Ovis aries: one gene and its partners. The protein of the gene in region 1 purifies or fractionates together with the protein of each later gene. This does not show direct contact. Links are inferred from orthologs where the notes say so. Each region holds a gene or a part of one and is shown in the gene's direction. Other genes may lie near its edges. The genes, in order: GDI1, RAB24, RAB9A, RAB6B, RAB6A, RAB7A and RAB10.

Region 1 (4,302 bases):
GCCTCAAGACAATGGACCGCTTCGACGACCACAAGGGCCCCACCATCACTTTGACCCAGATCGTGTGATTCCACACCTGTAGGGGCGGGGGATGGGGGGGGGGATTGAGGGCGTGCCTGAGGTCCAGGTTGTCACCTTCCCATCAGAGGCCCACTGGGCAGGAAGGCTTCTCCCTCTTCCGCCATTGCACGACTCCCTGGCTCCCCCTAGCTTGTCAGGCTACCTGTTCAGCCTGCTGAGGGTCTTCCCTAGGCTGCCCACTCCCCACCACATCTCTCTCCACAAGGTGTATATATTTCTGCATAGACAGTAGACAGATCTCCCAGGCTTGATCATTATAAAGGTAGGGGCCATCAGTTCTACAAAATCCACCCCCCTTCTCCTTATTTATTCTGATTTCTCCACCTTCGCTGCTTGCTGTTGATAGTGCTTTTGTGTAGCCAGTCCTCTCTTCCCAGGCTCTATGGGGTTCCTTGTAGCAGCCAGGAGCTGTTCCATTCCCTGAGTTTGGGGGGGAGTGTGGAAGTACTATTTGTCTGTCCCGCTTAGCTGGCGTTATTATTTTATTTTTTGGTGATGTGCTAACAATAAGACGTACACTGGGGTTTATTCCTTTGGCCTAAGAAGGAAGGGATCTACATGGCAGGTGGGATGGGTGTGATCACGGGGTTTGGGACCTGTTCCTGTCGGGAGTACCTGGCAGGAGCCCTGGGGTGCTCGTGGTTTCCTTCCGAATAAAATAAAGACGGGTCGCCATGCTTGGGCTTCTTGTCACTCATTTCTGCGCTGGGCACAAGGAAGGGAGGATGCACTTGGCTGACGGCCGAGAGAGGAGGCCCGAGGATGGAGGGATGGAGGCTGCTTTTCCAGGGACCAAGCGGAGGCCGAGAGGGTTGTTTGCTAGCTGGGTTTCCCCCGGCCCCCGCCTCAGCGACTAGGGGAGGGCGGGGGCCGTCAGCGCCCGGGAGAGGGAGGCGGGGGAGACGGCCACGACAATAGTCGCCCCCACGTCCCTAGGGGCCCGCCTCGGGCTGCTGCAGCAGCGCGCGCCCAGCCGGCGGGGCCGCGCCGAGCTTCCCGGGGCGGGGCGCGCGCGGCTCCTGCGCACGGATCCCTGGCGGACCTCAGCACCGTCTGCCAGGCCGCGCCGCCCCGCCCCGCCCCGCCCCGCCCCGCCCCGCCCCGCCTCACCGCCCTCTTTTCTAGGCCCTCGGCAAAGCGGCGCGGCCCGCCGAGTGGCGCGAGTGCTAGAGCCCGGGCTCCAGCAACCCTCCCCGGGAGGCAAGCGGGGACAGCAGGGGCCCCCGGTCGGCGCGGCGGCGGAGGGGAGGGGCCGGGACTCTTTGACGTGGCGGAGGGGTTGAGCGGCACGGTTGAGCCGCCATCTTTGGTCCACTGCGGCGGCGGCGGCGGCTGCGGCGGCGGCGGCGGCTGTGGCGGAGGAGGAGGAGCCGACGGGCGCTGACACCGAGGCCTGACCATGGACGAGGAATACGATGTGATCGTGCTGGGAACCGGACTCACCGTAAGTGCGGCCGCCGGTGTCCAGGGCGCCGCCTGTCCTCCTCCCTGGGATGCTGCAGCCCCCGGCCCCATCCTCCCATCAGTGCCTGCGCGGCGCTGTTCGGTCCCCGAAAAGATAGCCCCGTCCCCAACCACCGTGACGCGGCCTCCATCCCTGTCATGGCCGGTCTGCCAAGAAGCGGCCCCTTTTCTGGCTGTCTCTCTTGACCGATTCCCCGGGCCCGACCCCCAGCCCCTACCCAGGACCAACTTAACATCCCTTCTCATTTTGCGCTCATTCTGACGGGGATGTCGTGGTACAGGGACCTCCAGTCAGATCGGGGCGGGGGGACTTCCCAGGGTGGGCTTTCATCCTGCCTTCCCAGGTTCTTAGGGGGCCCGAGGACCCAGGGAATGTTCCAGAAGGAGCCGTGGTGGGGACCGTGACCACATTCCCACTACCCCACCCCGGTTTCCCATGGAGACCTCGGGGCTGAGGCGCATTTGCAGCCTTTGTCCTTGGGCTGGTGACAGTGACTGGTGAGGTTGTTTGCCCTCCCCCGAACCCTGTTGGACTGCTGCCCTGAGAGATGCCTCCCCAACAGTCGGGTGTGGAAGCCCCTACTGTGACGGGGAAAGCTCAGGGTCAGGGGTTCCTCTTTGAGGAAAGTGGCCCAGGGTGGGGCCTGGGATTTCGGCACCATGCTAAGCCTTTACTTCCTTTTCGGGTCCTTTGCTTGTCCAGCTAGGCGATCCCTGTGTTTTATTTGCCTTTTTGTGGGCTTCTACGTCGATAGATGATTTTCTTGGCATCTTGGTTGCTTGAAGACCATCCATGTGTCTGCTGGATACCCTCTTCCTTGTTCACCTTTTTGCCCAGCAAGGTTTTAAAAGGAAACCATGGTCAAATGAAGGTGTCCCCCCCCCCCCCCAATTTCAGGCAGAGCGACCAGCCACAGGTGCAAGGAGCTGTGTGTTGAGGCAGAGGCCCTTCAGGTTGACTCTCCCCTCAGGGTTGGAGTGGGGAACATGGTCAGGGCTGCTTGTGGGAATGTGGGCAGATGGGAGTGCAGTGAACATTGCCCCTCACTCAGGAATGTATCCTGTCGGGTATCATGTCTGTGAACGGGAAGAAGGTGCTGCACATGGACCGGAACCCCTACTATGGGGGTGAGAGCTCCTCCATCACCCCCCTGGAGGAGGTAGGCTGCTCTGGGCCCAGGCCTGTCCCTCGTTAACCTCTTGCATGGGGTGCTGAATGAAGCAGCTCCCCAGGTTTTCTGGGTGGGGGGCGGGGGCAGGGGCGGGAGTGGGAGGGGGTTCCTTGAGATGCATCTTTCTGTCTCTCTTTTCCCTTCTGCTGCCTGCAGCTGTATAAGCGTTTTCAGTTGCTGGAGGGGCCCCCTGAGACAATGGGCCGGGGCCGAGACTGGAACGTTGACTTGATCCCCAAATTCCTCATGGCCAATGGTGAGGGAGACGGAGGAGGTATTGTGGGAGGCGGGGTGATTGGGACGAGCAGAGAAGGGTCAGACTGCAGACCAGGGACAGACAGACCAGCTTGAGCTTGTGAAGGGAGCCATGCTGACTGTGTTGCCTTTCCCACACCGCCCTGCAGGGCAGCTTGTGAAGATGCTACTGTATACAGAGGTGACACGCTACCTGGACTTCAAGGTGGTGGAGGGCAGCTTTGTCTACAAGGGGGGCAAGATCTACAAAGTACCATCTACCGAGACTGAAGCCTTGGCTTCCAGTGAGTGTGGGTCCCATGAGCCAGGGAATCGGGGTGGGGGAAGGGGGGATAGCTATCAAGAGCAGGATGGCCCTTGCTGCAGGCCATGTTTCTTGTGCAGTACCAAAAGCCCCTTGCTCTATCATCCCCCTGTGTGCACCCACTGGTTGCCAGGAGAGGTGTCCAAGTGCGAAGGGAATATGGTGTCCTGGACAGAGGCTTCACCTGATCAGTGAAACATCCCCAAGTGTCAGAGCTGGGAATGCTCTCAGAGGCTGTCCAGCCAGACTCACTCTTGGTACAGTTGAGAAAACAGGCCAATGAGCACAGAGGGGTTAATTGAAAATCACACAGTGGTCAGCAAGAGAACTCTGCTGGGAGTTAGGGCACCGGCTTGCTCTGCCTGCCTGGCAGGTGGAGAGGGTCACGGCCCGTACCTCAGTGGTGCTTTGCATGTGGCCCTCACAGACCTGATGGGCATGTTTGAGAAACGGCGCTTCCGCAAGTTCCTGGTGTTCGTGGCAAACTTTGATGAGAACGACCCCAAGACCTTTGAGGGTGTCGACCCCCAGAACACCAGCATGCGTGACGTCTACCGGAAGTTCGACTTGGGGCAGGATGTCATTGACTTCACTGGCCATGCCCTAGCGCTCTACCGCACTGATGAGTGAGGGGAAACTGGCATGGCAGATGACCCTTCAGCCGGCCCACACCCTGCCCTCCCACTCCTGCCTGCTGCTCCCTTGGCTCACCCTGCCTACCTCCCATACTCAGCTCCGGGCTCACTCACCTGTCGCCTTTTCTGTCCCTTCCTTGTGTTTGACCAATGGTCTTTCCCAGGCCTGCAAGGGTGGGAAGGCTGGCCTGATGCCAGGGTGGGGGTGCACTGGGCCTTCTGCTCTTGGAGCCTCTTCTGACCCTATTTCTCCCAGCTACCTGGACCAGCCATGTCTCGAGACCATCAACCGCATCAAGTTGTACAGCGAATCCCTGGCTCGGTATGGAAAGAGCCCGTATCTGTACCCACTCTATGGCCTTGGCGAGCTGCCCCAAGGCTTTGCAAGGTG
Region 2 (4,061 bases), on another chromosome or scaffold:
GTATCCAGAGCGCTCTAGTTCCGGGGGGGACGTGAGAGGGGTCTCACCATCAGCCGGGCGTGGTTGATGTTCCAGGTGAAGGTGGTCATGGTCTGGTTTTGTGGGTCCACAATAGAATCCTCCAGGATGTACACTGAGTGAGCAACATTGGCAGGAAACAGTCGCTCAGCCCAGCGGGGCATCCTGTTCGTCTTGGTCAGGAGTCGGCGGGACAGGAGCTTCTGGTCAGAGGTCACCTCTCGGTGCACTATGTCTTCCGTCAAGACATGCTTGCTGCAGGTGTCAGGGTGAAGGTGACCCTCAGGAGCCTGACCCTGGGAGACTGCCTGCTGAGGTTCCCATCTGGAGCCTCCACGCTCAGAATGGCCAGGCCTTTTCCCAAACTTTCAGAGTAAGCTGTGGTTGTGGCTCAGACCTGAACTGGAGCCTTTGAGCCTCTCCCAGGGCAAATTCCAACTCCCGCCCCCTCGCTGACCTGGATTCCTGGGCATTCCAGCAGGGGTGGACCTCCTGATTTACTGCACCACTGGAGAGCAGTCAAGGGCAGAGAAGCAGGCAAGCGCCCAGACTTCCAACCCCAAGATCCCTCCCCAATTCCTGTGCTGCTTCCTCTTCCTGTCTCACCACACTGAGATGAGAGAACCTTAAGACTAGGGCTTCAAGTAATCCACTGCCCAGGCCCAGCCTCCTTCCAGTACCCTGTAGGCCTAGTCTGGCCGCTTACCCGATAGGGTTCTTCTGCCCTAAACATGGCCAGGCTCTGGAGATCCCCCGACTCAAAGTCGAGTCTTTCCCGGCCCCCAGACTCCGATCTCCAAAGAGCGAGGTAGGAGGGTTGCTCTTCCCAGGGCCACGTACCTATAGGGATTCGGGTACCGCTGCCAGAAGGCAGCGAACACTTGGTCCCAGGAACTCCGGAGCACGCTCTGGCCCAGGAAATACTTCACCATCGTCCCGGCCGGGGCGGGCTCAGCGCCCGAGCAGCATCAGGGGTGCGGAGCCCGAGGGGCACGCGGAGGCCGGGCTGGAGCTCGACGCTCAGCCGCCAGGCTAGCAGCAGGTCAGTCGCTACAGCGCCGCACCCGACCAGCCACCGCCGCCGCCGCCGCCATGAGGAATTATCGGGCCGCGCGCCACTTCCGGCTCAGCAGTGAAGTACCCACCTCTTCCGGTGCCTGCCCACGTGACCCGACGACCCCGCCCCCACACTCTCCTTCCCCCTACACCCCTCTCCCCTTCCCCGGCCCCGCCACCGCTGGAGTCGCGGCGCTGCGGGCCGGAGCTGGGTTGGAGGATCCCCCTGGCTCGGTGGGGAATCTGTGCCGGCGCGGCCTCTAAGCTAGGTGGGCGAGCGAGCGGCAGAGCGAGCTAGCAAGTCGGGCGGCGGCGTGCGGCGCCGTTAAGGGCGCTGCCCCGCGCGCTCCCAGGCCGCCCCGGGTCCCAGGCTCTTAGGAGGAGAATTCCTGGGCCCGAAAAGCGGGGGCGGACGGAGGCGTTGTCATCGCTCAAGCTCGTTGCGGCGTGTGGAACCTTAGGTTGGCGCCTGGGGTCGGGGACTGAGGTTAAGGGCGCTGCCTGTCGGAGCGGAGATCCGGGTTTGCCTCGCGCCCCCGCTCAGGACCCTGACGCGGGTGAGGCGGCCCCGGGAGCATGAGCGGGCAGCGCGTGGACGTCAAGGTGGTGATGTTGGGCAAGGAGTACGTGGGCAAGACGAGCCTGGTGGAGCGATACGTGCACGACCGCTTCCTAGTGGGGCCTTATCAGAATGTGAGTGCTCCCGACGGGGCCCAGCACGGGTGGGAGGGGGCTAGCCGACACGCGAGGCTCTGATCGCTTCCCCTTGGTTGCAGACCATTGGGGCCGCCTTCGTAGCCAAGGTGATGTCTGTCGGAGACCGGACGGTGACTTTGGGTATTTGGGTAAGTTCTCTGGGCACGTAATCTGGGAAAACCCACTCTTGAGGAGGCGTAGTTCCTGCCTTGTACTGACTTGTGGGCTCACGGGGGTTTCTGTTCTCTAGACCCCAGTTTAAAAACAGGGGTCTGGAGGACGTGATATTAGTTTGAAGTCGTGGGGAGTATACCTTCGTAACTCAGGCCAGGGCTGAGCCTCCCCCTGCCCTTCAGGACACAGCAGGCTCTGAGCGCTATGAGGCCATGAGCCGAATCTACTATCGGGGCGCCAAGGCTGCCATCGTCTGCTATGGTAAGAAGAGTTTTGGCCTGTTGCTCAGACAAGAAGGGGAGGGTGCCAGGCTGGCCTTATAGAACAGCCCCTCACCCTTGGTTGTGTTTCCTGTGTTCCACACCAAGACCTGACAGACAGCAGCAGCTTTGAACGGGCAAAGTTCTGGGTGAAGGAACTGCGCAACCTAGAGGAGGTAGGTGGCCTGACCTCACCAGAAAACCAGGCAGGGGCTGGCGGTCTGGTGGTCCAAGGGAAGTGACCCTGACCTGTCTTCTGCTCCAGGGCTGTCAGATCTACTTGTGTGGCACCAAGAGTGACCTGCTGGAGGAGGACAGGCGGCGGCGACGAGTGGACTTCCACGACGTTCAGGACTATGCAGACAGTAGCTGCTCCTTAGCTCCTTGGGTTGGGGAAGGAAGGGGCTGCTTGGGTGGGTCACAGAAAATAGGGGCTGCCTTGGCAAGATCCCCCACAGGAAGACTTTCTCTGGCCTCCCTGCATCTTTCAGAAGAGTCCCTGTACGGCTAGTCTGTGCCCACCTAATTCTCAGGTATGAGGCTTTAGTCTTTTCTCTTTACAGATATCAAAGCTCAGCTCTTTGAAACATCCAGCAAGACAGGCCAGAGTGTGGGTGAGTGCTGTCCTTGGCCTCACAGCAGAACACACAGGGGCAACAAAGGAGGCAGAGGAAAGCCCAGAGGGCTGGGTTACTATGGGATCCCTGGGCTCCTAGCATCTGGTCCTCACTAATCACCCTTTTTCCTGCCAGACGAGCTCTTCCAGAAAGTGGCCGAGGATTACGTCAGTGTGGCCGCCTTCCAGGTGATGACAGGTGTGTCCTTCCTTAGCTCCTGTGGAGACTCCCTTCAGGCCCACAGCACCTGACCCCCACCCCCCGGAAAGTATGTTGAGCTACCACCTCTCTCTTTAACAGAGGACAAGGGCGTGGACCTGGGCCAGAAGGCAAACCCCTACTTCTACAGCTGCTGTCATCACTGAGTCACCACTCACTTGGCCTGGGGGGGGATTCCCCCAGGGAGTCTGGACCTAGCTCTTGTCTGGGCTTGGATGATCAAACATCTGAGCTACCTGGGTCCCAGTGGCAGCAGAGGTGGCACCTGCCTGTGCTGGCCCATGGAGCGGAGACAGCATTGGGGCTGACTGATGGGCACAAAGAGGGTAAGGGCTGATTTGGACCCCAGGCTTCTGCCCTGGACAGCAGTTGTGTCTACAGATTATTTAAATGGCTTCTGATTTGTAAATAAAATCAATGCACTGTGAATTACACTCAACCCCTTTCCCTGCTGTCTGGATTGGGTGTCAGGACACCTAGGACTTTCTGGGGCCACCTGGTTGGCCTCACTTCCTATAATCAGTGTTCTTCTCAGGTCTTATTTTCCTTTGGAAACCAAGTGGCTTCACCCTAGGGTTGCAGCTGAGATAATGGAGAAGCAAAAGGGCCCTTGCTGGGTTCTTTGGTGGGGGCAGAGATAGGGTGAAAAGCTGGGGTTGGGGCAGTGCAAAGCTCAAATGGTTCCTTCTTGGTGTTAAGAACTGGAAAGGCACTCAGGTGGTACCAGAGATCAAAAGGTCAAGCATTTCTGCCTCGGACTGGCTGGCTCTACTGCACCTCTGTCACGTCTAGGTCTGTGAGTCATCCCTGTGGCTCAGAGCCTAAGCTTCCCAGCAGCATTCTATAATGTGGCTTAATAGTAGACAAATTACAGGTTCTGCAAGACTTAGAAAGGTCTTAGAGATCCAGATTGGGCTCTAACTACCCAGAAAAGGGACTCAAACTTGGCTGTGTTCTCCTTTTAAAATGAGGTGACTAGTACCTAGTTCAAGACTATGAAGAGTATGGTTGGAATGTTAAC
Region 3 (2,562 bases), about 68 Mb from region 1:
CATTGAGGGATTCATATTATCTACTTTCATGGGAAAATTAATTGCCATTTTTGCTGTAGGGCTGTGCTATCCAATACAGCTGTTTGCTCTTTAAATGTGACTATTCAAATTAGTTAAGACTATATAAAATTTAAAATTCATTTCCTTTCTCCCACCAGGCACAAGTTCAGTGCTCAATAGCCACATGTGGCTAGTGGCTGTCATATCAGACAGTCCACATGGAGGGTGCCTCCTTCGTTGCAGAAAGTACTGTTAGACGGTACTAAAAATTGTCTGCTTCCAGAAATTTTAATATCTTAAAAAGCCATTTTATACTGAAATATTTACAGACTACATGCTATAATTTGATTCAGAATAATTTGGGAGAAGGGAAAATGGAACACTATGGAGGAAACAGGATTTGCTGTAAGTTGATAATTGGTGAAACTAGGTTTAGGGCCTGTGTGGTATCATTATATTATTCTCATTATTCCAAAATTGTGTATGTTTGACATTTTCCATAATAAAGAGTTAAAATAGAAGCCTTAAATACAAACAACGCTCCCACCAGGCTGTAAATAGGTGGCTGAGTCTTCATATGCCACCCCACCCCACCCTTGCCCTCCTCACTGGTGCACGGGGCAGTCTAGTCCTTCCCAGGGCTTCCCCTCAAAGCATGGGCACCATACCACATTTTGGTTTAAGGTTCATTGCATCCCCCTTCGAAATACAAGTAACAAACAGCCCAGGCTCGCATTTGTTCAGAAGTGTTGGAGCTGCCCAAACGAATCTTGTGGGTAGAATGTGCTAGGTTACTATATTATGATAAAAATTCCATTGGTGCTGACATTAATGTTAGCCAATACAAAAAAGTGTCCTCAGTGAAGAGAACAGAGTCCTTTACTCAAGTGGTTGGCTTTGGTCTGTTCACAGCCAGATCAGTGAACTCTGTCCCCTGTTCCCTGCTTGGCAGCTCCTATGGTGATAGTGTTGGGAGAGAGACAGAGAGGATTGGCTAGAAGCCCCCTGGCCTGAGAGGAAAGCCATCAGTGAACCATGCCACCAGAGGGCAATTTGCAGTTGCTCTGGAAATGTGCCCTCTTCGGTCTCCTGGTGCCTCTCTAACAAATGGTGGCAGGGCTTGTTGTGAGCTGAGAGGATGGTTTGGGGGTTAGACTCGGCTTTGACTGCCAGCCTCAGTCAAGGGTAACCAGAGGAAGGGGAAGAACGAGCCCTCAGCAGTGGTCGTCGGGAGTGACGGTAGGATGGAGCCTGGCGCGAGGTGCAGAGCTCAGTAGCTGACATCTCTGGCTGTCACGTATTCCCTGCGTTTTCTTTCCCTTAGCACTGATGTTCAGAGAGGCACGTGGAACTAGGTACAGGTCTAAAGGAATGTAATGGTACTCTTCTGTTTTACAGGGTTCCACAGTCAGAGATCTTGAGATTAATAATGGCAGGAAAATCATCGCTTTTCAAAGTCATTCTCCTTGGAGATGGTGGTGTTGGGAAGAGTTCTCTAATGAACAGATATGTGACTAATAAGTTTGATGCCCAGCTCTTCCATACAATAGGTGTGGAGTTTTTAAATAAAGATTTGGAGGTGGATGGACACTTTGTCACCATGCAGATCTGGGACACGGCTGGTCAAGAGCGCTTCAGAAGCCTGAGGACGCCGTTCTACAGAGGTTCTGACTGTTGCCTGCTTACCTTTAGTGTCGATGATTCTCAGAGCTTCCAGAACTTGAGTAACTGGAAGAAAGAATTCATATATTACGCAGATGTGAAAGAGCCCGAAAGCTTTCCTTTTGTGATTCTGGGCAACAAGGTTGACATCAGCGAGCGGCAAGTGTCTGCAGAAGAAGCCCAAGCCTGGTGCCGGGACAACGGTGACTATCCCTACTTTGAAACGAGTGCAAAAGATGCCACGAATGTCGCAGCAGCCTTTGAGGAAGCAGTTCGAAGAGTGCTCGCTACCGAGGATAGGTCAGATCCCTTGATTCAGACAGACACGGTCCGTCTGCACCGGAAGCCCAAGCCCAGCTCATCTTGCTGTGGAAGTTAGAGAGGTAGCGACCTGACCAGCTCACCCACATGCACAGATGGGCTCTGGGCGGAGAAGAGGGTACGCGTGTGCAGCGACGCATCACATACTCAAACATTAACCGTGCCTGTCAGTGGGTGGGGGAAGCGACACATCCCCTCACGAGAGAATCCATTTACTCAGTAACGGCGCCTGACACGCACCCATTGTAACGGCTGTCTAATAATGTTTAATTTAAATATGTATGTTACAGAGCTAATAAATGAAATGACCAAGACTTTATAATTAAAACACTTGAGTATCCTAGAAGTTACTGTCTTTTCCCTGGGAATATGGAGAACTACTTTTTCTATGTGTATATTTTTATGTAATTAGCATTCTGTTCTGGTTCAGGGAAAGCATGTCCTAAAGCAATAATGTTAACTATTAAAGATCAAAATTGAATGCATTTGCACTGTGGTTATTTGATTACTACTTCTTTCTCTTTATGTTCATTTTTTCACTCTGCGTATCAGAATTGATCTCACTAGTAATCACTTGTC
Region 4 (3,523 bases), on another chromosome or scaffold:
TCCTTCTCTACTGAAAACTGGTTCCCCTCATCTCCCCTCCAGGCAGATAACCATAGAGGAGGGCGAGCAGCGTGCCAAAGAACTGAGCGTCATGTTCATCGAGACCAGTGCGAAGACTGGCTACAACGTGAAGCAGGTGGGAGCTGCCGCCTTGACCAGGGGCCCATACTGGGCTTCTGGTGCCAGGGGCTAGTGACCAGGTGGCTCACCTGATGGGGAGTGAGTCCCTCCAGAGCTAACTGCTCACCCTCAGGGTATTGGGGTGCTCACCCAGCAGCCAGCCCCGCAGCCCCTGAGCTACCGTGGGTGTCCAGCCCTCAGCTTCCAGGCAGCCGAGAAGCAGCTCTTTCCTACCTGTTCCCTCACTCGGGATGGCCATGCAGGAGAGTCCATCCACTCAGCATTTTGGGGTTCCTGCATTGTGCTTGACAAGTGCCTGGGGCTGCGTTGGGCCAGGTAGACTTGGGGAAAAGAGCCCATCCTCAGTGCGGTTAGAGCTTACAGGAGGGGGCCTGCAGAGTCAGACTCCTCAGAGGAGCCATAGAAGGGGTGGGGTTAGGGCTGAGCCTCGGAGCAAGAGACTTCTCACAGATGGCGTTCAGCAGGTCAGTGGACTTGGGTGGAAACGACTGCACCTGTCTCTGCACCACCCCCTGACAGATCAGCAGCATTTTCTGTGGCCATGAGCGTAGCAACAGGACTCCGTGTGTTAGTAGCTCCCCTGGCTTTATTGGTGTCTCAAGTCTCTTGAGCGTTTCCCCGCTCAGTATCTCAGGGGGTCCTCTGCCGGCTCCGGCTCTTTAACACATTCCTGAGGAAGCACAGGTGTTGCTATGTCAAGGGTCTGTATCTTTAAAGAGTTTAGAAATTTATTTCAATACTAAATGGTTTCCTTTACATGAAACTTGGGCTTTCCTGGTGGTTCAGATGGTAAAGAATCTGCCTGCAATGCAGGAGACCCAGGTTCAATCCCTGGGTTGGGAAGATCCCCTGGAGAAAGGAATGGCTACCCACTCCATTATTCTTGCCTGGAGAATTCTATGGACAGTGGACCATTCATTTCACATGCTTGAAAGGAGGCCATAGCCTTCACTAGCCTGCCAAAGGACCAGTTTTTGGTTCAGAAAAGGTGAGGATCCCGTGTCTTCAAGGAAAAGAGGACTTGGATAGCTGATGAGGAGGGGGCTGCCCGGGCAGGGGACTGGCATGGGCACAGGTGGGGCTGGAGGGGCTTTGGGGCCTTGCCAGGGTCACTTCTGCCCTGCCAGCCCCAGCAGTGTCCAAGAGCGCTAGACAAGCTGCCATGCAGCAGCTGGCCACACGCAATGAGGGTTTGAGGGTTTACCCCACCTGGGCAGTGCTGTGCCAGTGGGAAGTGGCAGAGGAGTGGGACGGACAGAATGAGCTCCCAGACCCAGGGGATGCCCCCGCCCCAGTTGGAGGGCCTCAGCATTGCTCTGTTCACTCATGCCCCCTTGCCAGCCTCCCCGGTCCCTGGAGGCCTACAGGAGACACCAGGTTGTGGCTCAGTGTGGTCCTGATGGAAAGGCCTGGAGGGCAGGGAAGCAGAGGTCAGTGGTCCAGAGGGCAGGTGGCCTCTGCCCTCAGCGGACAGAGATGCTGATGCCCTCTTTCCACTGCCCCCTTTCTGGAAGCCAGGCAATGGTCTGAGCAAGAGTTGTGTATAGTCAGTTCAACCCCAGATGGTTCAGAGGAGTCTCTGTGCGGTGCAGGCTCCTGGACTCTGAATGTGAGCCTGTCTGCTCTCAGAGGCCCCTATGTGACCCTTAGAGCTTCTGTTTGATTGGCAGCTTGGCCACCGACAGAGGCTGTGACTATTTTGACAGCCAGACAGGCGGAGTGGGGCTGCCTGGAGCATGGTTATGGAGGAAGGCTCAGTGAGTGACTGGACTTCTGCACCCGCTCCTACCCCTCTCTGCACCCCACCCACCAGCATCTTCCCCACTTGGGGGCCCTCACCCTCACCATGTTTGGTCCTGTCACCCAGCCTGGGTGGTCCCACGTGACTGGGCTCTGCCTTGAGACCATGAATGAGCCTCAACCTGTCTTCAGAGAGCTCAGGCAGTTCCTAGTTCAGAGCCCACCTAGTTTCCGCAGTTGGTGTTTGTCAAGAGATGGGGAGAGCATTCAGAATCTTCTGCCTTGTACTTGCTGTCATCCCCCTAGGTTCCATCCCCCTAGGTCCTGCCACCGCCCCCTGACACCCTGCCCACCCCTGCCCCAGTGAGCACATGCACTCAGACACACACCACACAGCTCTCCATGCATACTTACAAACACACAGGCACAGAAACCCCGCATGTGCACATACACGTCGCACAAACGCACCCCCCCACATACACACACAGATGCCGCACATCCACATCCACACCACACACACTCCTCTACACACAGTACACGCAGTCACACTCGCCCATGCCCAAGCAATATCACACTCACACTCCCACGTCCTTATTCCCTCTGAAAAGTCTCCTCCACTCTGACTGTGGCCCTGGCTCCTAGAAGCCAGCTGCCTCGATGCTGTGCACTCGCAAGACTCCCTGAAGAGAGGGTCATTGTCATAAGGGCAGGTTGAAAGCCACTTCCCCACACCTGGCCCCCAGGTGGGCGTTGGGACAGAAGCTCCCCAGGGCCTAGATCATTTTCTGCCTGAGGGTGGATCCCTGGCCATCACCATGACCCACACTCAGCCCCCGAGACCCTGAGGCCAGACTGCCTGGGTGAGAGGCCTGCTGGGGCCCAGTGCCGTGAGGGGTGCTAGGGGGTGGGAGGGAGAAGTTGGGTGCAGTCTCTGCTGTCCAGGATGCAGTCAGCGGGACAGGACAGGAGTAGAGCCTGAGGTCAGTGAGAAGAGGCAGAAGGTGGGCATGCCGGGAGCAGAGGGGGAAGGATGGGGCTCATGCTGCACCTCCCCTCTCCCTAGCTCTTCCGACGTGTGGCCTCGGCTCTGCCTGGAATGGAGAATGTCCAGGAGAAAAGCAAAGAAGGGAGTATCCTTTTCTTTGACAAGTGAGTGAAAGATGCTGCAGAAGTCATTTATTCATGGATTTATCACATGATGTATTAGAACAGTGGACAAACCCTTGCCTGGTCCCCAGGCCAGCTTTCCTGATGGGCAGCTGTGCTGTGGAGGCTCATATGTACAGGAATGAGGCTGAACTCCAAGGTCTTCAAGACCCCGTCCAGCTTGAACTAAACAAGCTTCCAGAACAGAGTAGGGGTGCCAGAGGGTTGTGTGTGGAGTGACAGCGTGGGGCAGGGAGTGAGAGATAGTAACTGCCCTTCTTTCTAGTGAACACAGATTTGTGTTTCACGTGGACAAGCAGAATCTCCACTTCCGTACATTCAGACATGATCTCAGCATGGTTCAGCCTCCTCTACATGAGACAACTGCCTCCTCAACCCAGCCCGGCACAGCCTGGGGCCTCCCCACTGCCCCGGGGACAGGGTCTGCACACCACTCACCCAGTCCACTCCAGACCTTGGGCCACACTCAGAGGCT
Region 5 (3,996 bases), on another chromosome or scaffold:
TTAATTGTGCTAAGGTCTAAGGAATAACCGAGAAGCCATATCCTTTAGCTCAGCCATCCAGTGGTCTTTACTTGATGTCATTTGCTGAATTTCCCCTCCCAATTATCATGTCTTTTTTTTCCCCATAGCTCTTCCGACGTGTTGCAGCAGCTCTACCTGGAATGGAAAGCACACAGGACAGAAGCAGAGAAGACAGTATCCTTTTTGTTTCATAAGAAAATTTGTTGTTAACATAGGCCTTTAAAGCCCAACTTTGTTGACTTAGGAATATTATGCCATTGCCTTTTAGAGCTAAGAATTGATGGTTTGGGAGCAAAAAAGCTCTGAGTTTTTCTATAGTAAATGCAGTCTGGTTATCCAAGTGCACTCTTTGCAGCCTGCTGCTCACTACAGTTAATCAGTGACAGGGTGTTTGTTTGTTTTCCCTGCTTGGTTTTTAATGAGCAGGAAACTCTTAGCATCCCACCCTGCTGCTGCTTAATTTTGACTCCTCTTGACTCTGGGCTTTTTCACCACAGTATATATCTTACTTTCTTCCCCTGTGTTTTCTAACATTTGAGCTTTCTACTTGGAATAGGCAGGAGATAACTCAGTCTAGAGCTTTATCACTGCCTCTGCTTTCAGAAATGGGGACAGAACAAAGCACATATAAATTATTTATTTAAAAGAGTTTTTATATTTTCCTTATTTGTCACATATTTATCTTCTAGTGTTTTTCTATATGCAGACATTTTTATTAAAAGCCATGGAATTCATAGCACTTTATAGTCAGCTCTTCCCATTTCTAAATGTTATGTGTTTTCTAAGCCTTTATTAATAGTGTGATGTGTTCTACCGAGTTGAAGCCCAGTTGTTTGTTAAATTCTGTCCCTATTGTTGGAACTCTCGTAGGCTGTTTTCAGATTTTTGTTACAGATAATTCCTTAAGGAACATCATCTTTGTATGGTTTCTTATTCCTGTAGAATAATTACCTTAGGATAGATTCTGATGAATAGGAATTAACCTTGTTCGGAAACTTGCGGCATATAGGAGATAAAAGCACATTTATTTCATATGAGTACTTCATGTGGTGGACTAGCTATATAGGAAATAATGGATGAGTAGGCTCTGAAGCCAAATAGGAATGGGAGAATCGTTGGTGTCCAGGAGAATTGGAATTGTACTTCTCTGTTTATGGTTCCTTAACTTTTGTTTCAGTGATTGACATAAAACTGGAAAAGCCTCAGGAGCAGCCAGTCAGCGAAGGAGGCTGTTCCTGCTAATCCCCCATGGCATCTTCAACTTTGCTCCAGAAGCTCACTGCTTTGGCCCCCTTACTCTTTCATTGACTGCAGTGTGAATATTGGCTTGAACCTTTTCCCTTCAGTAATAACGTATTGCAATTCATCATTGCTGCCTGTATCGTGGAGATGATCTATTAGCTTCACAAGCACAAAAAAGTCAGTGTCTTCATTATTTATATTTTACAAAAAGCCAAATGATTCCAGCATATTCCAGTGATAACTTTAAAAATTAGATACATTTTCTTAACATTGTTTTTCATTTTTAATGTTACGAGAATGTACTTCAAAATGATGGAACTCTCAACAGTATGTGGCTTGGTTACAGAATAGTTATTCATAGGAGTACTTGCCTATGCCGACTTACTTGATCTCTCCCTGCTGTACTCACTTTTCCTTTACCCCATCTCCTAGTCCTACCCACCCTCCCTCAACTAACAAGAGGAGGCAAAGCCAGACCAAGTCAGACCAAGCCCACTGGATTTACCTTGTATTTTAGCGATACCACTTGCTCTAGGCCTTCAGCCAAGATATCCAAAATTATTCTTGAGCACTGATATAAATTACTTAGACCTTAATTGAGGTCAAAGCTCAGCTATCATGGAAGGCAGTGCTGGAATAAGGAAAGGGTTTCTGATGTGTCTTCAGAATGAGTCCCAATGACCAATACTTATAAGTAAATGAACATAAAATATATTTCTGACCAAAACAAATGATCCTTGCACATGTTAGACTCTGGGAGAGAAAAGTAAAAGTGCTTCAGAACAAGTTTTAAATATTTAATTCTTCTAAGAGCTAATTCTCCCAAGATTTTAAAATTGTCAAAATAGAGTTCTGATTGAAAAAGAAGACTTTTTTAAGCAATAGATTTCTCTTGAGTTTATTTCTTCCTTTGTTTCTTTTTTTAAAAATGCTATGCAGGCAAGTCACTGTAGAAATCAAATTCCTTTAAGAAGAACCAGTGTAAGAATTTAAATTTGGCATCTTGATCAAAACTACTGTAACAAGTGGAAACAATGATATCTAAAGCGTACCAACTGTAGACTCTTCAGCAGAATAGCAAATGCTTTGCCCAGGACATTTGAGATCAAATTAAAGATGGAAAGTTTTCTTATAAGCCCTTAGAGGCAGATCTGAACAAGCATACATAGAAGAGGGAAAAGAGAGAATGAAAATAAAACTTAACATTATGCAGATTTATGCCTTATTTTTCAGCATTTTTTTTTATGTTGGTTCTCTCAACCTGGTTTTGCTTTTTATTAGATCTGTATAGTTTGGTTAATTAGTGATTCAGTTTTATATTTAAGCTATAATTAATCTTTTTTCTTTGATATTTATTTCTTTGCCTTTTTAACTATTAATTTTTAGATATTTTATTCAGTCTTTAGAGCTTCATCACAATGGCAATATGTATTTCCCTTAAAACACTGCAAACAAATATACTAGGAGTGCACCATTTTAATCTTTACTAGTTATTGTGAGATTGCTGTGTAAGTTAATAAACATATTTGTAAATACATTGTTTGCAGGAAGTAAATTTCTGAGTTATAGCTCAGGAAAAGCCTGCTGAATTTATGTTGTAAGCATTACTTAACACAGTATAAGGATGAAAAGACAGCAAAAATATCTTCATACTTCCTCATCCCCTCATTGCAACAAAGCCCTTAACTGGGAGAACCTTATTCCCCTCTCTTTCCTCTTCCTCCTCCACTTCCCACTTACTATATCACCTTATAATATTCAGAGAGCACTTGGATTATGGGTCTGAATAGAGAAATGCTTTCAGATAATCATTAGCCCACATACCCCAGTAACTTGTACTCAAAGATGGGATGGAGTTGTAAAGTGCTTTTATAATACAATATTATTGTTAAAGGCAAGGGTTGACTCTTTTGTTTTATCTTGACATGGCATGTCCTGAAATAAATATCAATTCAATATGGCAGATGGGTCGGTCATATTCTTTATTTGGAAGAAGTTGTGATTTCTGATATGGGGATGATTGTCTTCCTACACTGTAGCATTTGATGTATCTTTAAGGCAGTAACCAGTTATGCTGCTTTTAATATTGGTCTTTTTATTTGGCTTGGGGATCTTCAACAGAAGCAGTGAAGTGTGTTCATAGTGCAGATTTTCTGTTTAATAAAGTTTTGCTGCCAAAAAAATGTATAAATAAACACAAAAGAAAACAATTATTGACTTGGTTTCCCATTCCTGCCAAAGTAATGAATTACCATGTGCTACTTACTTCCTCCCAAGAACTATAAAGGGAATATGGAATCCAGATAAGTAACAACAAAACTGAGAAACCTCAGGGGAATCAGAAGACTCTCTTCAGCAGTTGAGAGTGAGGGAAAGTGGCTGCAACTTGAAAGATAGGGTCACTGGTGGAGGCAATAATAAGATGTTTCAAGGAAAGCAGTTTAAGTTTTGCTTATGCCATCTCACTCTTAACTCCACTTTTGCTTTGAGACAGGAGTGACTAACTACCCTTCCACCAAATCCAGCCTGCAACCTGTTTTTAAATTAAATTTTGTTAGACCTCAGCCATACTCGCCTACAAAGACTGGGTTGAGTAGTTGTAACCGACTTTATGGCCCCCAAAGCCAAAAATATTTATTATCTTTTACAGAAAAAGGGGCTGATCCCTGCCTTAGGGCAAACCACAACTAGCCCCATTACTATAGAAATGGAGGCCCCAACCTAGATTACAGG
Region 6 (4,035 bases), on another chromosome or scaffold:
AAGAGAATCGAGGCAGCTTTTCTCAGGCCCCACCTGGAGCATCTTTCAGCTCAGACTGGAAGAACACCAGGCTCTCCTGAGCCCACGCCCTCCCCGCTCGGTCCTGTGTAAGCCCCGAGGTCCCCGCTCTGCTGATTATGGGAGGCGGACGCCACCCCTGCTGGTTCCTGGTCGTCTCCACCCAGCCTCCTGAGGAGGGGCCAGGGCTGGGGGTCCCCGGAAGGCATGGGGTCCTTGCTGAGGACGCTGCTGCCTCTGGAGGCGGCGGCAGCCCCAGCCCTCCCGTGGGGTCAGCACCGAGGGGTGCTCCTCGCGGTCCTCACGTGCGGTCCTGACACCGGCCTAGGCTCAGGACTGCTGCCCTCCTGCCACCGCTCTCCCCCTGAAGGCCTCTGAGGCACTCCTGAGGACCACAAGGCCTGTGCCCGTAGGAAAGTGATCCGGGGTCAGGCTGAGTCAGGGGGTTGAACACCAGCAGGGCCTCTTCATGCTGTCTGGTCCAGGCTCCAGAAGACTTCCTGAAGGGCTTCCTGGGGAAAGACGGTCTCAAGCTGCAAAGTCAAACGCTGTTGCTGCACAGGCTCTTCCCCAGGGTGGAGCTCGGCTCTGGGTGCGGTGGTCGCAACTCCCGGGTTGTGGCTCAGGGCTCAGTTGCTCCACCGCACGTGGCATCTTCCTGGGCCAGGAATGGAAACTGTGCCCCCACCATTGGCCGGCGGATTCCTAATCCCTGGCCCACCAGGGATGCCCGTGAGAGTGTTTTAAAGAACGCAGACTGCACAGCCCACGTGGTCGAGCCGCAGAGGCAGGAGCGCGGGGGCCGAGGGCCAGCTGTGAGGTTGTCCGCTGTCTCCAGCTGCGTGCAGGGTCCGTGCTCTGAAGACGGCCAGGCGGCATCAGGGGTAGACAGTGGTGGGGAGAGGCGGGCTGCTCCACAGTGGACAAAGGGCTTGCGCCGAGGAGGCCTGCGTGAGCAGCGCTCAGGCTCACCCACGCTGCCCCGGCGTCCCGGCGGTCGCGCCTCCTGCAGGCTCCTCTGGTGCCTCTGGCGCGCTCCTGGCCCGGGTCCCATGCTGAGCCTGAGCTCCGTCCAGGCCCCGGGTGCAGCGGGGAGCCGGCCGGAAGGCTGGGGCGTGGAGCTCCCGGGCCTCGTCTGTGCGTGTGCCGAGAGAGGGGTTCCCCTCAGCAGTTCCGTGCCGCTCATGTGCCTTCTCCTTCCTTCCAGCTTGAAGGATGACCTCGAGGAAGAAAGTGCTGCTGAAGGTGATCATCCTGGGAGACTCTGGGTGAGTGTCCCCGCACGTGAGCGGACACCCTGGTGGCGCTCTAGCGCTGCTCTCCGTGGGGCCGGCTCTCCCTGCTGCGGGGCCGGGTCTCCCTGGCATGGGGCCCTTTGTCCCGTTTGGAGAAAATGGTGGCTGTTAGAACTCAGTGATAATTTCATTCGGCTCCTCTTTCCTACCTGGTGAGAGGAGGGAGGAGAGTTTTCATGGAGGTTTGCTGCTGTGGGCAGCATGCCGTGCCCACGCTGGAGGTTTGGGGCATACTTGGTGGCGCAGGCAGAGCTCCGAGACGCTGCAGGCACTTACAGACCACCTCCGCGGCGTCAGCATCGCAGGGAAGTGAGCCGCGGGAGCTCTCTGGCTTCTGCGGGCACGGAACAGTCACGATCGCACCGTGCGGTCGCCGCTTGGTGTGCAGTGACCATGTGTCTGAAGAGCATCGTACACACCGCAGTTCAAAGACGACTTACTGCCGGAAAACGCCACCCGCCCACTGACCCCTGCGTGAGTCTTCATGTTTTTGCAGTAGTGACATCAGAGATCACTGGTCACAGATCAGAGCAGAGTGATGACGGGAGAGTTGTAACCACTGCACGATTTATCAAAATGGGACACAGACGTGAAGGGAGCAGACGTCGTTGGAAAAGTGACTAGCTTGACACGGGGCCGCCACCGACGTGCGGTCTGCAAAGAGAGAAAACGAGGCGGAAGGCACTCTGCGGAGCGCCTGCAAGGGAGGCGCGCCTGCACCCGCCTCCGGCTGGGCCTGGGTCTCCCCTGGCCAGGTAACTGACTAGCTCTGTGGTCACTGGGAAGACTCGGGGTGCAGGTGAGGTTTTCAGACTTGGCATCTGAAGTGACCCTTGAAAGCTCAGACCGGAGGCGACGTGCTTTTGAAAATCATGTAATGATGCAAGTGTGCCTAAAAGGCAGTGGTTTTCCTGCCCTGGCTGGCTTCCTTAATCCGCTGAGAAGCCTTTTAAAAGCGCGCGTCCACCACAAGCCGCAGGCCCGCGCTGGCTGCATCCGCGCATCCACATACACGCCCCGCCCATCTCTGCTCTCCCTGGCCCGCCTCCCGCGCGCGCCTCTCGGTTCCTCTGCTGCACTGTCAGGATTGAAAGTGCTGCTTTTCGGCCCATTTCCTGGACTTGCCTGAAGACAGACTTCCTGTTGTCTTCCGCTGGAGATTCGGGCCCAGATGGCCGGGTGGGGAACACTGCCCTGGGCTGTCCTCCCAGGTCCTCTGTGGGTGAAGCGAGTGTTTGCCTTTGTGGAAAGGAAGGTGTTACCAGCCTGTCCTGCTGCCCTGTCACCCGAAGAGTCACCCCGGTCTCTTGCTGAGTTCTCTTACTGAAACACCCCTCTGGGGAGCCTGCTTTGGTGGATTCCAATTTGGCGGATTATTGGTGCTTTTTCTGTTTCAGATTCTAAACTTGGTTTGGGCTTCCCTCACAGCTCAGTCGGTAAAGAGTCTGCCTGCAATGCAGGAGACCCGGGTTCAGTTCCTGGGTCGGGAAGATCCCCTGGAGAAGGAAATGGCTATCCACTCTAGTAATTCTTGCCTGGAAAGTGCCACGGACAGAGGAGCTTGTCGGGCTACAGTCCACGGGGTTGCAAGAGTCGGACACGACTTAGCGACTAAACCAACAGCAGCAGGCTGGCTGGCTGGCATGAATGTCTGCTGGGAGCCAGTGGGCGCCTCTGCCGCTACTCTCTTGGACTGAAGAACCACCACTAAACGGAGAGACCCAAGATGGCAGAGACACTTCGGGACAAGTGCAGGGATCTTACTGCTGGAGCTTCTTTTAGAAGGAGAGCATTTGCCAGCCCCCTTTTGGAAGGAGAGAAATGGAAACACTCGGCTCTACCAGCTGTACCAGAGCTCAGGAGTGCTTCTCTGGACCTGACCCCCGCCGGTAGCCCACGTCCGTCCCTGGTGGGCGCGCATCGCCACTGGGTGAACTGGAGGCTTCCCCCGCACTGGGAGGGGCGGGCCTTGTTCTCCTGCGAGACAGACAGTCCTTCCAGATGGCACGCGTCAGAGTCGGTGTGCGATGCCGACCGGCCTGACTTGTGGTTTTTCTCCCATTTCAGAGTCGGGAAGACCTCGCTCATGAACCAGTACGTGAACAAGAAGTTCAGTAACCAGTACAAAGCCACGATAGGCGCGGACTTCCTGACGAAGGAGGTGATGGTGGACGACAGGCTCGTGACCATGCAGGTGAGCGCCGCCGCGCTGCGCCGCCCCGCCTCTGTCCTGGCGCCGCCCTCCCCGTCAGACCTCGCGGCCTGCCAGACGCAGCACGGGACACCGGGGCGGGGGGGGGGGGGGCGTCCTCAGTACCGCGAGGCACACCAGCAGTTTCCCTTTTTTTCCCAAAGTTCGAGTTTAACTGGCCTCCCTGGGTTTTGCTGTTGTGGTTCAGTTTTCTGCTGTAAAGTTGGCAGCTTCCGGTTCCTGTCTTGTGTCTCCAAAACGTCCAAGTCGTCCCTTCCCCAGCACCCTTGCCTGTGCTGAGGCTGAAGAATCCTTGCCTCTCTCCTGGGCTCTTGCGGCGGCCATTCTAGTGGTCTTCTTGGCTTCTAGTCTTGTGCGCTTCACGGCCCTGTAAGTTGTGTTTCTGTTCAGCCAGCCTGGCTTCTTCATGTAGCAGCTTAATCTGATTTCAGGGGCTTCCCTTTCAACACTTGGGAAAAACACAGTTCCTTCACTTGGCTCCTTAAGAGGCTTCACGTTCTGGGGCTTCCC
Region 7 (4,223 bases), on another chromosome or scaffold:
CACCTGCGCTGCCATTTGGCGGGGAGGTCTCCCCAGCGCCCAGGTGTTCCTCGGTATTCTTTCTCCCCTCCCTGGAACTCAGATTACATCATCTCAACCTGAGCAGCGTGGCCAGATTTCTCCCATTTCAAACTCCCGCTCTCTTGAATGCCAATTCTTGTTCCTTAAGCAAACCAGGTTGGAGCTGTTATGTTTCCCCCAACAAGAGGGAGGACACTCCAGGACGAATCTCATTTTGGCGAAGAGGCTATTAAATGACCCAGGGTACTACTTTCCTCGCATTTACAAGCTACAGCTGCACAGGAAACACACGGCCACCCAAGGCCGTGGCTGCGCCAACACCCTCAGCTCCATACGCTTGTCAAACGCGACCCGAAACATCCTCAGCGAAGTCGGAGAGCAACCGGAAGAAGAAAATCCGGGGTGTCAAGGCGGAGAGGGGGGCGGGGTAACGCCGACATGCCGCGCCTGCGCAGTCACTATACAGCGCCTCCCCGCGGGGCGTGCTCGTCAGGCCGCCGCACCCTATCAGGCGGCCGCAGGGAGCGCGCCCGCGGCCTCGCCCTCTCTCGCCCCACCCCTCTCTCATCTCCGCCGGGCCTTAAACTGAGGTTGGGAGACCCAGAGCGAGCTCCACTCTCCGCCCCGAGCGGTCCCGCACTCCCCCTGGCGCGCGTGCGCAGGGGCGGACCGCAGGACGAGGGCGCGAGGGGAGGGCGGGCGTACGTCCTTGCGTGCGTCTCAGGCAGCGCGCACGCCGGCGTGAGAGGGCACGGGGAAAAGGTGGCTCTGGCCGGGGCGGCTCGCTTTCCTGTGGCTATGTAGCTGAGCTCGTCAGCTCCGGGTCCTCCTTCGCTGACTTCGCCGCGTCCTAGCGTTGAGCTGCTGCTTCGGAAAGAGAGGCCGTCCTCACGCCTACCGCGCTCCCTCGACGGCCGAGCCTGCTCGCTCGCCCGTCGGAGCGTCCCGGCCGAGCAACCCTGAGGGGGGAGGGGAGGCCATTTTGTCCCGACCGACTCCCCGGAACCGGGCGGAGCGGCTGGGAGAGGCTGCGGAGCAGCGGTCGCCGCCCTCGGAGGCACCGGACGCCGCCACCGTCGGGGCTTCCTCGACGAGGCAGTTCCTAGGTCACCCGCGCCCTCTCGAGCCGTCCTTTTTCCCACGGTTCCCCCCGGTCCTCCGGCCTGAGAACGCCCGAGCGAGGAGGAGTTGGCCGTAGTGAGAGGGACCGATCCCTTGGGGCCGCCGGCGGCGAGAGCCTGAGCCGCTCCTCCCAATGGCGAAGAAGACGTACGACCTGCTTTTCAAGCTGCTCCTGATCGGGGACTCGGGAGTGGGGAAGACCTGCGTCCTTTTTCGTTTTTCGGATGATGCCTTCAACACCACCTTTATTTCCACCATAGGTAAGACCTGTGGGAGGATGGTGTGCGATCTCTGCAGCTGCAAACCGTTCCTTTTGCTCCAGACATCTTGCTTCCCGTAATATACGCCTTTGTTTCAGTGATCCCGATTCCAAGCGACAGACCAAGTTACTGTTTGAATCGGCATTGAGCTTTCTGGGGCGGGGTCTTCCCCTGCTTTCCATCCGGTCTTTTGCTCTCAAGTCTCCCACTCTGCTCAGTGCCTGCTGTTACAAAATATGCAGCATTAGCAGCGTTCCAGAATCCTGTTTCTTTAAGCGTCAGGGTTGGCTTTTTCCATGTTTGTGTGGCGTTACTAGATGTACGATACTTGTAAGGGATTATTTTGATGGTTGGAGTTGAAGCAGTAGGGGTCATTTGGTAAAGACCTGAATTTATACTTCAGGGCAAAGAGATTCCATATGGTCGTAACTTAGAGTAAGCTTGAGGGTTTGTGTAAGGAATAATTAAAGTAAATTAGAAGGGAAAAGTGAGTTGCCCCGCGTTGACTAATCCATTGATGTGTCAAACAATCGGAGGCTCTTAGTGCTTGGGGTGGGACTCCGGCATGTTTGCACACAGTGCTTTTCGAGACATCAGCAGAAGCAGTAATCTGATGGAGATGGTCAGTTTCTGTCCTCGAACCTGAAAAAATGAAGTTTTCCCCTCCTGTTTTACACTAGCATCTTACAGGGAAGTGTCTTGCAAGTCATAGCCTTGGGACTTTTAATGTACTTTTCACCTCATGTTTCAGAATTATTTAGTATGAAAGTAAGAGCTAAAGATTGACCTTTTAAATCGGTTTCTTGTTTAGGAAAAGAAAAGGGAAGACTCTAGGAAAGTCCCTTTCAACTCTACGGAGAAAATTAAGTGTCATTTACACGAATTGTGTTAAATTGGGTTGGATGTGCGATCCTTTTTTTTCCCTCACAAGATAAATATCTTAACACGAGGTTGTCTCTGTCACTTGGCGACCAGTACACAGCATTGGGGCAAGTGCAATAAAATCCATTTTAAGTGTAATTAGTTTTATACTGAAATGATTATAAAAAACTAGCATAGTTTTCTTTGAACTCTGGGAAGTGTCGAATTTAAGCTGATCTCAATTTATAGCATTTGGAATCGATGACTTGGATTTCTTGTGATAAGTGTCAGTTACTTAGTTCATTCTCATAAAACAGATAATACTGAAATTTGGCATTAGATCGTTTTGACTAGATTTTGATTTTACTTGTTTTGGGGAGAGGGCGTCTTTGTAATTCTTGTTTCATGAATGTCATGCTGCTCTCTAGACCTGTTGTAAATTTCATGAGACTTAGAACTTGTTCTCTGCCTGTGGGTTAGCACTTCCTACCACTAACTTTACTTTTAAGATTCCACTTTTAGCTGTAGCTGGGTGGATCAGGTGGTTAGATCCTTCAGCAAATATTTATTGAGCACCTAACGCTAGGCACTGTTTTCGGGATAGATAGATAAGTGGTGAACATGGCAGGAGCAGTCTAGAGAGGAAGCACAAGAGTGTGGACAGTGCTGCAGTGGGGTTGGCACAGGGAGAGGGGTGCTTAGTCTAAATTAGGCTTGCATGGAGATGATGTCTGAAATGAAGTCTGAAGGACAAGTAGAAATTGAACTAGAGGGGTGGGAAAGGGAGTGTAGACTCCCTTTAGTGTAGACTAAACCTGTAGTAAGATCAGAGATTTAATCCACGTTGGTTAGCTTTAACCTGTGGTTGAGAAAGGTAGAGTGGAAAGTAGGAAGCAAAGGATTAACTCCCATCTACTCTTGGCCTTTTGTAATGGGTGCAGTGTTGTTTATTGTACTCACAACTAAAACCCAGTCCTGTAAGATAATGACACAATCTTATGTAGTTTTGTGGGACCTTAGTTCCCAGACCAGGGTTTGAACCGTTGCCCTCAGCAGTGAAAGCATGGAGCTCCAGGGAATTCCCTCCTGTAGTAGTGAGAGTGTGTGGTGATTTGGGATCTCACCTGCTGGGTTGGAATCCTAGTTCCACAGGTTACTGGCGGCAGTTTGACAAGTTAATTAACCTTTTCTCCTACTTCAGTTTCTTTAAATATTGTAAATAATAGTACCCATCACAGAAGGTAGTTGTGAGAATTTTATGAGAGCAAAGTGCCGCCAGGCACACTGTAGGAGCACAGTGCATGCATATCAGTTATACATGGACACATGCCCCATGTGCTATAGTGGGGCAGAACAAGTTACTTTATGGATTGAATGCTCTGTATGCAGTGGTCATGCAAATATTGGTTAGTGCTCTGCTAAACATATCACTTTACACTCTGGAATGTTCATATTTTGATATAAAAATATTTGATGTGTGTGATATTTTGATATCTAAGACAGGTTGAACAGAATATATGGATGTAAAATTCTGAGTGCAGCTCCAACATGTGGCATATATTAGCTCTATATGCATGTTTAGACATCTCCTGGTGTCTTACATCAGTGTTATCCAAAAGAAACATAATGTGAGTCACATAAGATTTTTTAGTAGCCACATTTAAAAAGGAAAAGAAGTATTTAATAGTCTTTTAGCTCATTTTATCCTGAAGTCTTCTCATTTTATTATATAATCAAAACTTAAAAATAGTTGAGACATTTTATACTTTTCTCCAGTGTGTATGTATGTTATCTTTACAGTTCATCTCAGATTAGGCACATTGGGACAGTGCATGTCTAAACAGTATAAACTGGCCAGTTGGCGAATATGCAGATGATTAGAGATACTTAAAATACGTACTACTTTTAGGGCATTTTAAATTTCATCAGTTGGCTAAGTTTTTGTTTGTTTTGCTTTGC

What was found.
Region 2: the proteins of GDI1 (region 1) and RAB24 purify together in Homo sapiens (affinity purification with mass spectrometry; 3 studies listed by BioGRID and IntAct, counting the BioPlex papers as one, with this or other methods). This does not show direct contact. The link is inferred for Ovis aries from reciprocal best matches to the Homo sapiens genes GDI1 and RAB24.
Region 3: the proteins of GDI1 (region 1) and RAB9A purify together in Homo sapiens (affinity purification with mass spectrometry; 3 studies listed by BioGRID and IntAct, counting the BioPlex papers as one, with this or other methods). This does not show direct contact. The link is inferred for Ovis aries from reciprocal best matches to the Homo sapiens genes GDI1 and RAB9A.
Region 4: the proteins of GDI1 (region 1) and RAB6B purify together in Homo sapiens (co-immunoprecipitation; 3 studies listed by BioGRID and IntAct, counting the BioPlex papers as one, with this or other methods). This does not show direct contact. The link is inferred for Ovis aries from reciprocal best matches to the Homo sapiens genes GDI1 and RAB6B.
Region 5: the proteins of GDI1 (region 1) and RAB6A purify together in Homo sapiens (affinity purification with mass spectrometry; 3 studies listed by BioGRID and IntAct, counting the BioPlex papers as one, with this or other methods). This does not show direct contact. The link is inferred for Ovis aries from reciprocal best matches to the Homo sapiens genes GDI1 and RAB6A.
Region 6: the proteins of GDI1 (region 1) and RAB7A purify together in Homo sapiens (affinity purification with mass spectrometry; 4 studies listed by BioGRID and IntAct, counting the BioPlex papers as one, with this or other methods). This does not show direct contact. The link is inferred for Ovis aries from reciprocal best matches to the Homo sapiens genes GDI1 and RAB7A.
Region 7: the proteins of GDI1 (region 1) and RAB10 purify together in Homo sapiens (co-immunoprecipitation; 4 studies listed by BioGRID and IntAct, counting the BioPlex papers as one, with this or other methods). This does not show direct contact. The link is inferred for Ovis aries from reciprocal best matches to the Homo sapiens genes GDI1 and RAB10.

The regions. Positions count from the first base shown.
Region 1 is NC_056080.1:80,001,163-80,005,464, reverse strand, and holds the start of GDI1 (rab GDP dissociation inhibitor alpha), read left to right. Parts: upstream 1-1,480; coding exon 1,481-1,525; intron 1,526-2,597; coding exon 2,598-2,705; intron 2,706-2,873; coding exon 2,874-2,973; intron 2,974-3,121; coding exon 3,122-3,256; intron 3,257-3,703; coding exon 3,704-3,902; intron 3,903-4,167; coding exon 4,168-4,299; intron 4,300-4,302. Other genes in the region: ATP6AP1 (V-type proton ATPase subunit S1), read left to right, coding at 1-68. UniProt on the Homo sapiens protein: Regulates the GDP/GTP exchange reaction of most Rab proteins by inhibiting the dissociation of GDP from them, and the subsequent binding of GTP to them. Promotes the dissociation of GDP-bound Rab proteins from the membrane and inhibits their activation.
Region 2 is NC_056058.1:36,477,124-36,481,184, reverse strand, and holds the start of RAB24 (ras-related protein Rab-24), read left to right. Parts: upstream 1-1,242; 5' UTR 1,243-1,650; coding exon 1,651-1,767; intron 1,768-1,850; coding exon 1,851-1,919; intron 1,920-2,126; coding exon 2,127-2,205; intron 2,206-2,312; coding exon 2,313-2,380; intron 2,381-2,469; coding exon 2,470-2,569; intron 2,570-2,767; coding exon 2,768-2,818; intron 2,819-2,956; coding exon 2,957-3,019; intron 3,020-3,121; coding exon 3,122-3,186; 3' UTR 3,187-4,061. Other genes in the region: PRELID1 (PRELI domain-containing protein 1, mitochondrial), read right to left, coding at 48-273, 859-950.
Region 3 is NC_056080.1:11,842,919-11,845,480, forward strand, and holds RAB9A (ras-related protein Rab-9A), read left to right. Parts: upstream 1-1,429; coding exon 1,430-2,041; downstream 2,042-2,562. UniProt on the Homo sapiens protein: The small GTPases Rab are key regulators of intracellular membrane trafficking, from the formation of transport vesicles to their fusion with membranes.
Region 4 is NC_056054.1:256,161,412-256,164,934, forward strand, and holds part of RAB6B (ras-related protein Rab-6B), read left to right. Parts: intron 1-42; coding exon 43-136; intron 137-2,944; coding exon 2,945-3,011; intron 3,012-3,523. UniProt on the Homo sapiens protein: The small GTPases Rab are key regulators of intracellular membrane trafficking, from the formation of transport vesicles to their fusion with membranes. Rabs cycle between active GTP-bound and inactive GDP-bound states.
Region 5 is NC_056068.1:51,877,317-51,881,312, reverse strand, and holds the end of RAB6A (ras-related protein Rab-6A), read left to right. Parts: intron 1-128; coding exon 129-195; intron 196-1,198; coding exon 1,199-1,263; 3' UTR 1,264-3,473; downstream 3,474-3,996. UniProt on the Homo sapiens protein: The small GTPases Rab are key regulators of intracellular membrane trafficking, from the formation of transport vesicles to their fusion with membranes.
Region 6 is NC_056072.1:59,086,964-59,090,998, reverse strand, and holds the start of RAB7A (ras-related protein Rab-7a), read left to right. Parts: upstream 1-1,233; coding exon 1,234-1,286; intron 1,287-3,380; coding exon 3,381-3,507; intron 3,508-4,035.
Region 7 is NC_056056.1:33,317,356-33,321,578, forward strand, and holds the start of RAB10 (ras-related protein Rab-10), read left to right. Parts: upstream 1-1,403; 5' UTR 1,404-4,223. UniProt on the Homo sapiens protein: The small GTPases Rab are key regulators of intracellular membrane trafficking, from the formation of transport vesicles to their fusion with membranes.